Drosophila melanogaster: one gene and its partner. Changing the gene in region 1 together with any one later gene gives a genetic interaction. Each region holds a gene or a part of one and is shown on either strand. Other genes may lie near its edges.

What was found.
Region 2: of mAcon1 (region 1) and ND-19, changing one suppresses a phenotype caused by changing the other (phenotypic suppression), as found in Drosophila melanogaster (one study listed by BioGRID).

Annotation. Positions count from the first base shown.
Region 1 is NT_033779.5:21,166,470-21,173,805, forward strand, and holds mAcon1 (mitochondrial aconitase 1), read left to right. Parts: upstream 1-2,100; 5' UTR 2,101-2,302; coding exon 2,303-2,335; intron 2,336-3,721; coding exon 3,722-5,359; intron 5,360-5,425; coding exon 5,426-5,929; intron 5,930-5,990; coding exon 5,991-6,179; 3' UTR 6,180-6,715; downstream 6,716-7,336. Other genes in the region: CG43346 (uncharacterized protein), read right to left, coding at 1-83; CG43345 (uncharacterized protein), read right to left, coding at 210-479, 534-1,745; CG31627 (uncharacterized protein), read left to right, coding at 6,819-7,336.
Region 2 is NT_033778.4:24,662,416-24,666,147, forward strand, and holds ND-19 (NADH dehydrogenase (ubiquinone) 19 kDa subunit), read left to right. Parts: upstream 1-1,982; 5' UTR 1,983-2,031; exon of another isoform or gene 2,032-2,041; intron 2,042-2,092; exon of another isoform or gene 2,093-2,100; 5' UTR 2,101-2,135; coding exon 2,136-2,264; intron 2,265-2,438; coding exon 2,439-2,614; intron 2,615-2,677; coding exon 2,678-2,768; intron 2,769-2,821; coding exon 2,822-2,953; 3' UTR 2,954-3,024; downstream 3,025-3,732. Other genes in the region: Cpr60D (cuticular protein 60D), read right to left, coding at 548-817, 876-887; CG30161 (uncharacterized protein), read right to left, coding at 1,159-1,914; CG34214 (uncharacterized protein), read right to left, coding at 3,036-3,423, 3,483-3,541.

The DNA of each region.
Region 1 (7,336 bases):
CCACGAAACTGCCGCGGTCGTAGGGACTTCCAAAAGTTCTTGAAGATGATGCCGATCACATCGCGCGTCGGCTTGTTAGCCATGCTTATTTTAACTTAAGAGCGAGGAACTTAAATTTATTTTAGAATTTGAGGTTAGGTCTTGCGTTTGTTATGACATGAACAGCTGGTGGCGGTGTTGCAAAATGCCGGCAGGTTTAAAAGCGTAATTCAAATTCGTAAAATTGGTTTCAGTGGCAATGCATAGGGACTAAACCAGTCCCGCAGAAAAATTGCCATTAAATCTGTACGGAGACTATTATTGTTGTATTCCATGTCCTGGAGTACTAATCCAATGCCAGCTGAGTAAGTAAAATGCTCTCCCGAAAAACTGGAGGTGCCTATAAAGGCAACCCTATCGGTGACTAAGTACGAGTTGCAGTTAACTCTACCGCCGGAAATCCTCTCCAGTTCATTTGTGGTGGGTACAACAAAACGTCGCTGCAAGAGCAAAGAAATTGTTAATAAAATTGCCAATACTTATAAGCTCATTACCATTTGTATATCTACTCCTTCCGTAATTTTGTCGAGCGCTTGAAGGGACCTCAAGAAGTGATCCTCGCTGGGATCCGAATACTTCCACCATGAAATAAGCACCTTAATGGCCACACCGCGTTCCAAGGCAGCTCTACGCAGGGCATTGTCTATGACCGGCCAGTACTCCAATTTGTTACTCCGTCTTAGCCGAGGAGAGTACTCCATTAAGGAGAGGTATATAACGTCTGTGGCCTTGTCGATAGCCTCTAAAATGGCATCTAGCTCTCGGGTCCTTCCAGTAGCGATCAACTCTGGTGGTGATGTGGATAAATAAGCTCTCATTGTATGTTTTTTGTTGATGTTTAGCAAAAGCGGTCTTCTTTGATTGATGTGCGTGTGGTATATCCACGGCCAGCTCTTTGGCACTTCATTGCTGCCCAGGTACCAATACGCCTTGAAGATCTTTCCCAGATCTAGAGCAAGATGGGGACAATTTCTGGCCAGCACACCTAGTTCCTTGCGTTGCGTCAGTGATCGCCAGTCCATGCTAGCTGTGCCCAAGTAGAAGTGCTCCCCGTCCACTAACCACAGTTTTGAGTGCAGAAAATTAATGCCCACGACGTCGGCTGCTCCGTAGTTAGCCAAGATACGGGCATCAGCATGCCACAGGCTATCGTGGCTGCGATTAACCACAATCCGCACGCGCAGCTTGGGTCTGCCGGCATCTCCATTCGACAGTAGCTGCTGAAAGAGTTGATCTCCAGGCCCGGTGCTGCTATCGTTGACGTCCAAGCCGCGCAGTGTCCAGTGCGGAGAAACGATGTCCAACGATGCCTTGGCCCTGCCTAGTAGTAGCTGCCAGGCATCAAAGGTGCTACTCAGTTGGGGGTGGCTTTGCCATTGGCTGTAGTTCAACCCCAAGGGCAAGCTCTCCACCAGTTCGAGTTGACATGGTAACGGCTTTTCCACCGGAACGGGGCTGTTTCCGTTTTCATTTCGATGGTAGGTCTCCCAAGGCAACAGAAGCACAATCATCACCAGAACGAAGAGTATAAGCACTGGTATGATGTAGCCGTGCTTGCAGGAACAGATATTTCGCTCATCCTGGAGCCCTAGGCCGCAATTGGGACGCCGGCAACACGATGTGGTCAAAGGGGTTGGCTCTTCCGGTGCTCTGGGCACTGGCTGGTACTCTCCGGGTATCTCATGCACTACGCGACGCTCGGACATGGCAAGGGGATCAGGACTAATGCTGACTGGCCATTGTCAAACATTTTTCACAGCCGAGCCTATTTATTATTCGCGCAGTTGTGGGAAAGTATCACCCGCCCACGCAAACAAATGGGCAGTGTTGGACAGCACAGCGCGGTAGTCGTCTGCGCTGGCTGCTAAAAAAAAGCTAAAGGATAAATTAATCCAAGTCCCTGCTCAGAAAAATAAGTTGTCGTCAGTGCATTATTTCAGCATTTACTTCGATTTAAGTTTTAACGCCATAGAGTCCATTAATTCTCTTGAAGTTAATAAATGTTTATCGCTTTAATTCAAAACTGATAAACTTTCTATGGTCCTATTTATTTAACGACCCAATTTTGGCGGGAAACAAGCCGGCGGAACATTGCTGACGCGTATGCGTGACGCCAGCTAACACTGGTCGCCGTGGTAAAGAATTTAGTCTGTCTTAAAATCTTCCGGCTGAGAGGGCTGAAAATTTTGACGGCTTCGAAGCATTTGCTGCAATATCAATTTCGTCGGGTTTATTTCGAGTATCGCTTAATCAGGACGCGACCATGGCTGCGAGATTGATGAACGCCCAGGCACAGGTAGGTTCTAGAGCGGAGCCTGTGCCTCCAGTCGGCCAATATATAACCACGGCTATATATACGTTTACGTATAGAATCTGTGAATGGAACCCCGAAATTCCAAGCTGCGATAAAGACAACTGGACAGAGCACTGCGCGAAAGTTTACAAAAAATCATTGCCCATTTCTTACACACCCAGCAGGATGTGGGCAGCGAAAAATAGCAAATTTTTCGCACAGCGTTTTCTAACCTAAAATCATAAAATTCGAAGTGGTTAGGTAACCGAGTTCGCAGTGTTTGTGATTCTACAGGCCCTGCATCCCAAACATGTATACTGAATACGCAGCAGTGAACCATGCGAAATCGTTAGCTCTCAACAATTAACAGCGATTCGTGGGGGTTCGATGGTTGGCATAGTTGCATTTACATAATCGCCGGGGTCCAGTTATTTAACCAGGAGGCGAACACCCTCTAGAGCATATATCTTGTGGCGGAGGACCGTCTTATCTGTGACAGGTTTACTTACACTTTGATAATGCCAGCACTAAATATAGCTTAAAAAAGTTGCGCCGTTTAACTTGAGTATCACGCGCATTGGAGGAGTTTTGCCTTTCAAGTGGGGTTTTTCCACGTCAGCTTCGAGAAAGGTTTCACTGTACTCTGCCCATAAGTTAACGACCTATTTGACGTAATTGTCATTGCAATTGTTTCGATTTGCGTGTATGTACATACAGTCGTGTCGTCACGTGGTTCTTCTAATTGGAGTGTTCTGTAGAATATTGTAACAATTTGAAAGGCTTACAAACAAACTATATTTCCAGCTACTTTTTATTTTTTTATTCTGCAGTTCGAAGAACCTTAAAGCACTTTGGCTAGCACTTAAAATACTTTGATTGTTAAATGTAAACTTTCAATCATTTTACTAATCTCAAAAAAATATTTGGAAAAATTTCACTCTGAAGCGGTAAATGGATCAATGGATTATTTTTGGCTATTCAAAAATTTCAAGACGATTAAAATTTATTAGCTTTAGCAATATATTGATCTTAAAACAAGTGAAAGCGGTGATAATAATGTTTTACATTTGTTATATATGTATGCAAGATTAAATGTACAGTAAAGAAGAATTTTCACAGATATGGTCCCCACATGATTGTACTCTTGTCAGAATATCTTTGGGAATTATCATTTCCTGATAGAGGAATCAATTTAATTAAAGTGACGAGGACTCGTCCTCTTGACATGATAATCAAGTGTTTATTGGGCTACCAAGCGAATAAATAAAATCTCACAGTGTGCGAAGTGCAAATAAACTAGAGAATCACATTGTGTTAATTACTTGATCTTGATTGCTAAATGTACCACTTCACCATATTTAACAGTTCGACTTCTTATCTGCTTTCCAGGTGTGTCGACTGGGCAAGCATGTTGCGTCCGAAGCCACAGTGGTGCGTCAGTTCCACGCCTCCTGCTACACCGCCTCCAAAGTGGCTCTGTCCAAGTTCGACTCGGACGTCTACCTGCCGTACGAGAAGCTGAACAAGCGCCTGGAAGTGGTGCGCGGTCGCTTGAACCGCCCACTGACTCTCTCCGAGAAGGTGCTGTACTCGCATCTGGACGATCCCGCAAACCAGGACATCGTGCGCGGTACTTCGTACCTGCGTCTTCGCCCCGATCGTGTGGCTATGCAGGATGCCACTGCACAGATGGCTCTGCTTCAGTTTATCTCCTCCGGACTGAAAAAGGTGGCTGTGCCCTCCACTGTTCACTGTGATCATTTAATCGAGGCCCAGATTGGTGGACCCAAGGATTTAGCCCGTGCCAAGGACCTGAACAAGGAAGTGTACGATTTCTTGGCCAGCACCTGTGCAAAGTACGGATTGGGCTTCTGGAAGCCAGGCAGCGGAATCATCCATCAGATCATTCTGGAGAACTACGCTTTCCCCGGCCTGCTGATGATTGGTACTGACTCACACACCCCCAACGGTGGTGGCTTGGGTGGCCTGTGCATTGGCGTTGGTGGTGCTGATGCCGTCGATGTGATGGCCGACATCCCCTGGGAGCTGAAGTGCCCCAAGGTGATTGGTGTCAATTTGACTGGCAAGATCAGCGGCTGGACCTCGCCCAAGGATGTTATCCTGAAGGTTGCCGATATCCTGACCGTCAAGGGAGGCACCGGTGCCATCATTGAGTATCACGGCAAGGGTGTTGACTCTATCTCTTGTACAGGCATGGCCACCATCTGCAACATGGGTGCTGAGATCGGAGCTACCACCTCTCTGTTCCCCTTCAACCAGCGCATGGCTGATTACCTGAAATCGACAGGCCGTGCTGGCATTGCCTCCGAAGCCCAGAAGTACCAGGCCAAGATTCTGTCCGCTGACAAGAACTGCGAGTACGATGAGCTGATTGAAATCAACCTAGACACCCTGGAGCCCCATGTTAACGGACCATTCACTCCCGATTTGGGCCATCCCATCAGCAAGCTAGGCGAGAACTCGAAGAAGAACGGGTACCCTATGGACATCCGTGTAGGTCTTATTGGCTCTTGCACCAACTCTTCGTATGAGGACATGGGTCGCTGCGCCAGCATCGCCAAGGATGCCATGAGCCATGGCCTCAAGTCGAAGATTCCTTTCAATGTGACTCCCGGATCAGAGCAGATCCGTGCCACCATCGAGCGCGACGGCATCTCTGAGGTGTTCGACAAGTTCGGCGGTACCGTTCTGGCCAACGCTTGCGGTCCCTGCATTGGACAGTGGGATCGTAAGGACGTTAAGAAGGGCGACAAGAACACCATTGTCACCTCCTACAACCGAAACTTTACTGGCAGGAACGACGCTAACCCGGCCACCCATTGCTTTGTCACTAGTCCCGAGTTGGTCACCGCTCTGTCCATCGCCGGTCGTCTGGACTTCAACCCGCTGACCGACGAGCTTACTGGTGCTGATGGCAAGAAGTTCAAGCTCAAGGCTCCCTTCGGCGACGAGCTGCCCGCCAAGGGTTTCGATCCCGGCCAGGACACCTACACTGCTCCCCCACCCGTAAGTACATTTAAATTCCCAAACTGATTTATATTGTTCTTAAGAATCAATATGGAAATCCCACAGAGCGGCGAAAATGTCAAGGTGGCTGTCGACCCCAAGTCGACGCGTCTGCAGCTGCTGGAGCCTTTTGACAAGTGGAACGGCCAGGATCTGACCGATCTGACTGTGCTGATCAAGGTTAAGGGAAAGTGCACCACTGACCACATCTCCGCTGCCGGACCCTGGCTGAAGTACCGTGGCCATTTGGACAACATCTCCAACAACATGTTTATCGGAGCCACCAACTACGAAAACAACGAGATGAACAACATCAAGAACCAACGCAACGGTAGCTGGGGAGGAGTTCCCGACGTAGCCCGCGACTACAAGGCCAACGGCATCAAGTGGGTGGCCGTCGGCGATGAGAACTACGGCGAGGGTTCGTCCCGCGAGCATGCCGCTTTGGAGCCCCGTCACCTTGGTGGTCGTGCCATTATCGTCAAGTCCTTCGCCCGTATCCACGAGACCAACCTGAAGAAACAGGGTCTTCTGCCTCTCACCTTCGCCAATCCCGCTGATTACGATAAGGTTTGCGACTCTTAGCTTCTGTGACTAAGGTCATATTAACCATATCTTTGTACTTCAACAGATCCAGCCCACGAGCAAAATCTCCCTGCTCAACCTGAAATCCCTTGCGCCTGGAAAGCCCGTAGATGCCGAAATCAAGAATGGCGACAAGGTCGAGAGGATCAAGCTTAACCACACCCTGAACGACCTACAGATCGGCTGGTTCAAGGCCGGCAGCGCTCTCAACCGCATGAAGGAGCTGGCCCAGTAAATGGTCCTGGACCTACTTAAGACACCCAGTCAAGAAGCCTGATCCCAACCTTCTTCCTGTAGGTGAACACACTCAAATTCACAACGGAAGCAATCGAATTATGGTATTGTTATTCAATTCTTTTCAAATTGTTTATATTATATTTTGACTATATCGAGTGTGCAGCTTTAAAAGTGAATTATGTAGCCGAACGATAGCGAGAAATTGTAAGAGTTTTATATATATAATTATACACAATTTTATTTTTAATTCTGGCTATGCATGCGTTTCCTTCAATTTTTGTTCTTTTTGAATTTGTCCAAATGCTCTACAGATTGCCTCTACTATGAAACTGTTTTAAGTGCGAATAAAACTCAAGTAATATGTATTAAACCGATTCTTTCATTTAATAAACAACAGTTAAAACAAAAAAGCGGACAATAAGTGCCGTCAATTCATCCCGTGTCCTCTATATTTTCTTCATTATTAACATAATTTTATCAATTATAAGACGTAAGACACAACAATTTGCACAATAAAGCATAATATCAATAATAGAATCTACTGGGGCAGATTACTTAATTATTCACCCATAGCTTTTGGAAAATATGTCGAATTGTCAATCAAATATAAATTATTAGTAAATCCAATTCTAGGACTATGAAACGCAGAGCTCAAAGTAAAACTTCCGTTGCTTCCAGCACGGATTTCTTTTCACTCTCCGACAAGCCATCGTTGGGAAGAAGACGAGCCCTACTGGCTGCAAAACTTAAGCGTCAGGAACAGAGTACAACGTCCTTTGACTCCAGCACAGGCTCCTACACTTATACAGACGCCACTTCTTTGCGAAAGACCCCCATCACCTTCTCACCTAGCCCGGAGTTCATGAAGACCGCCAAGGCTAAATTAAAGTTAATCGCATTGTATGAAGATCACAAATGCTTGTGGAATCAGCGCAACAAAGATTTCTTCAATTTCGAGCTCAAAGACAGAATCTGGGATGCGATTGCCGATGAAATGAAAGCGGACTCGCCATCTGGGTTTTGGAAACATATGATTCACAAGCTTCGCTATAAAGTTGAGATGGAGCGCATACAAGAGCAGGGTGCAAAGTTTTCGGGTGAATCGCCGCAGCCAAAACTATTTTATTCAGATAATCTGCTGTTTCTAAATCACAT
Region 2 (3,732 bases), on another chromosome or scaffold:
AATTGTGCTTTTCAAGGATACGCGGATGGGAAATGGGCCGAATGGGCCGAATGGGAGCAGCACCCATTTAAGTTGTCATTTCCGTAACATATTCCAATGGCCCCGCACAATGGGCGAGTCCATATTTGAATTTGCCGTTTAACAATAGCCCCAATGGCTTCCCTTCCGGTGAGTTCCCCCACTTTGCCCCATTTCCGCTGGGTTCCTTATTATGCGGATGACAATGCGTATTTTATGCCGCCTGTCGGCATTGATTATAAAGCTGAGTGCTGTTCGGTAACCTTTTATTTGTGCAGCAGTGTGGGATGAGGAAATCATCATCATTCCACATGACCCATTCAGGGGCTCTGTAAGCGCAATGTCTAATTGGACAGACCCTTGGATGAAGATGCTGAAGCGCTCTATGAACTGTAGCCCAACAGCTCTCAATATGAGTTCTACCAGGGGAACGTTTTATTGGAACAACAAGACATTACCTCACCACTCATTTTATGGAAAAAACCGCCGTTTTATAAGTTAAGATTAACATAACATCAAAGTCACTCGGTCACTCTTCAACCTTCGGATGGAAGCCGGTTGCATCTGCGGTGTAAGTCACGCGAATTTGCTTGCCATCTTCGCCGGGAAGGAAGTATTCGCCCTGGATGCCGTTCACATTGCCTTGAGCTTTCACTTGGATCCCATTGCTGACCGTGATCTCATGCTGGAACTGCCCAGCTCCATCCAGGTTCTGGCGGTTCTCCGACTTCAGAAGTTGCGCCTGCAGATCCTCCTCACTGCAGCTGGCCAAAACGACGAAAAGGGCAAAGATAAGGCTCTGAAATTGAGAGGTGGCTGATTATCCAATAGTCTGTTTGAAATCCGATTAAACTCACATATTTCAGCATTTTGGAGCAGCTTCTTGAAATGAAACAATGCCCGTCGGCCTTTTATACTATACTCCGAAGCTGCCTAGCCCACTAAACGGGTTTCAATCGCATCTGCTAATGAAATGACTGAGATTAACCAGACAGCCATGAATATGAAATTTGCGGCTACTCAATCGAGTCTGCTTCTGGCACCAGAAGCAGGCCAGCCTCCCCCAACTAATTGATTGCGATTTTGTTAACCCATTTTGCTACTAAAAGAACATTTAATCATCAACAATGAATTTGAAAACTATGCGCCCGCGGCCTTCGGAAGGATTTCTTGTGCAGGCTTGGAATCCCAGTCTCTATACCTAATTTCTGGATTGCTCAGAATCTTGGCCACACCCTTCAGAAAGCTTGGCTTACTGATAGTGGTTTTTCTCACAGAATCGTTGCTTTTCTTTTCCAAGGCATGCGGTATAAGTGAGGAAAAATTTAGAGATGCCTCGTTAGTAAGTGTCCCATCTGAGGATTCAATTGGCAAGAGAGACATCCCCTTATTTCGCTTGTTGTTGAACTTCTCGAGATATTTCTTGGCACCCAAACGGGCGGATGTCTTTAAAGCATTCATATCCCAGGACACTCCCAGCTTGGATTTGATCTCCTCGGAGGCAGTCTTGTCGTTCGAAGAGAACAGCGTTTGGAACATCTTCTTCAGCTCGAGGTCCTTGGGATCTTGTAGCGATCGGACTGCCCGCGGATCAATCTGCCCAATGGAATTGTCTTGGCTTTTGGTTTCCGCCTCCCGCTTGGAATCCTTGTTCAGCTCAACTAAGTCGTTTAACGACAATTTGGGGTCCAAGTTCCCTTGCAGCTGCTGGAAATCCATTTCGGGCGCATCCTTCGGCAGGTAGCCGCGGCTTTTCAGGTAAACTAGCGGCGACTGCCAGTTGTCGATGAGGTTCTTAACAATGGTGTCAACCGAATTCTCATACTTAACTACTTTTAAATTGCGATCAGCTGCAGCACTATAAAATAGACAGATGTATAAGATTAAAGAAATCATTTTAATTTAAATTGTGAGCCTGTTATCGATGACTTTGTGAAACGGCTACACTATCGATATAAATTGTTATTGACAGCTACGTCTCAGCAGCCCTGGATCTAAATCAGCTGTTGTGTTGTAAGCAAACGTAAAATTAACAAAATCCTACAATTATTTTGTTTTTTATTGAATTTCATAGCCTTTCAGGTTTTTGGTTGATCGCACAGGACTGCAACGCTATTATGGTCATCACCAACAACACAACACTGCCCGAGGAGTCGGAGCTGAACGTCCAGGAGCTAAATCTATCGTCGGCGGCCTTACGGGCAGGCGCCTTCCATTTGGGCAAGCAATGCGAGCAGGCCAATAATGTTAGTACATCCAGATTGCAGGGGAATCCTCCTGATAGTAATGCTTAGGTGAAAAGCGCCTTAAAGTGAAGCTGGGAGCCGCTGCCTCTTTAAAATCCGAGCGGCTTAGTTATATAACCTAACCTCAAAAAGCACCTTCCCCGTTTGTTTACCTTTTCCTTCGTGTAATTTCAGGAGTTTATGCTGTGCCGGCAGGAGCTGGATGACCCGCGAGCCTGTTTGGCGGAGGGCAAAGCCGTGACCAGCTGCGCCCTGGACTTCTTCCGCAAGGTGAAGAAGACCTGCCATGAGGAGTTCACGCAGTACGCCACCTGCCTGGATAAGAGCAGCGGTACTATGGCTTTTTCACAGTAAGCACTCCGTAAATGTTGAATATTCCAATCATGCTATACCAATGTCCATCCATACTTTAGTTGCCGCAAGACCCAGGGAGTGTTCGACAAGTGTATCAAAGATAACTTCGACTGGGATCGTCCCTCCTATGGATACTTCTCGAGGGCCAAGGTAATTTCTCGGCATGCTTTATTTAGACCTCTCCTAATCACTTCTGTTTTCAGGTCATCCAATCAGCTCGGGAAGCACCCAAGAAGGAGGAGAAGGTCTCCTATCCCGATGCCACCCCCGGTTTGCCCGAGGATTACCCCAAGCCGCCAGCAAAGTACGGTTCCCGCTTCCACTGGCTGGAGTAGACAGCTGCCAGCGCCTAGTGAAATTTGAAAGCGTTCATCTTAATATAAACTCTTGTTTCCATTAGTACTCGATATATTTATTTCATCGTATCTTTTTCCTCGACACAGTTTGCTTGATTTTGGCCATAATATCCAGGTACTGGTTGTTCAGGCAGCATCCGCAGTAGCTAACAGGGAAGCAGGCGCTGCCCTCGATACGGCGGAAAAGTGGCGTGTTCTGATAGAAGACCCACGAGATGTTTTCTTCGCCCAGCACCAGCATGATCTTGTCGAAGCGGACGCCCTGCACCTGAAACAGCTCCATGTCGCCGGTGATGATGCGCCACTCTGCGTAGCGTATGTTAGCATCTGGGGGCAGCTTGGAGCGCTCCCTCATCATCACATGCTCGAACCAATCGCGCACTTGGATAATCGATCCGGTGGGAGCGTGCTTTCTGATCTGGTAGCTGATGCGCGGGTACAGAGGATTTCTGCGACAGGAATGAATGAGTTTCTGGCGATCTCTTGGGTATTTATATTAATTGCTTACATGTAAGGAACAAAGGCCAGGCGCACCAGCACAAATTCAACTTTCTCTCGAGGAGCCATCTTGAAGATAATTTTATTTTTATGCGGACGACGCACTTCACAGGCACTGCTATGCAATACTAATGAACTTGGTCCACTGCTCAGACTATATATGCATAATACGCGACTTGCAGGCAGGTAGAATCATTGCTAAAGCAGATGTTCCGTTTCTAATCCCAAGAAAAAGTCCCAGTTTTCCCGTTAGTTACCTG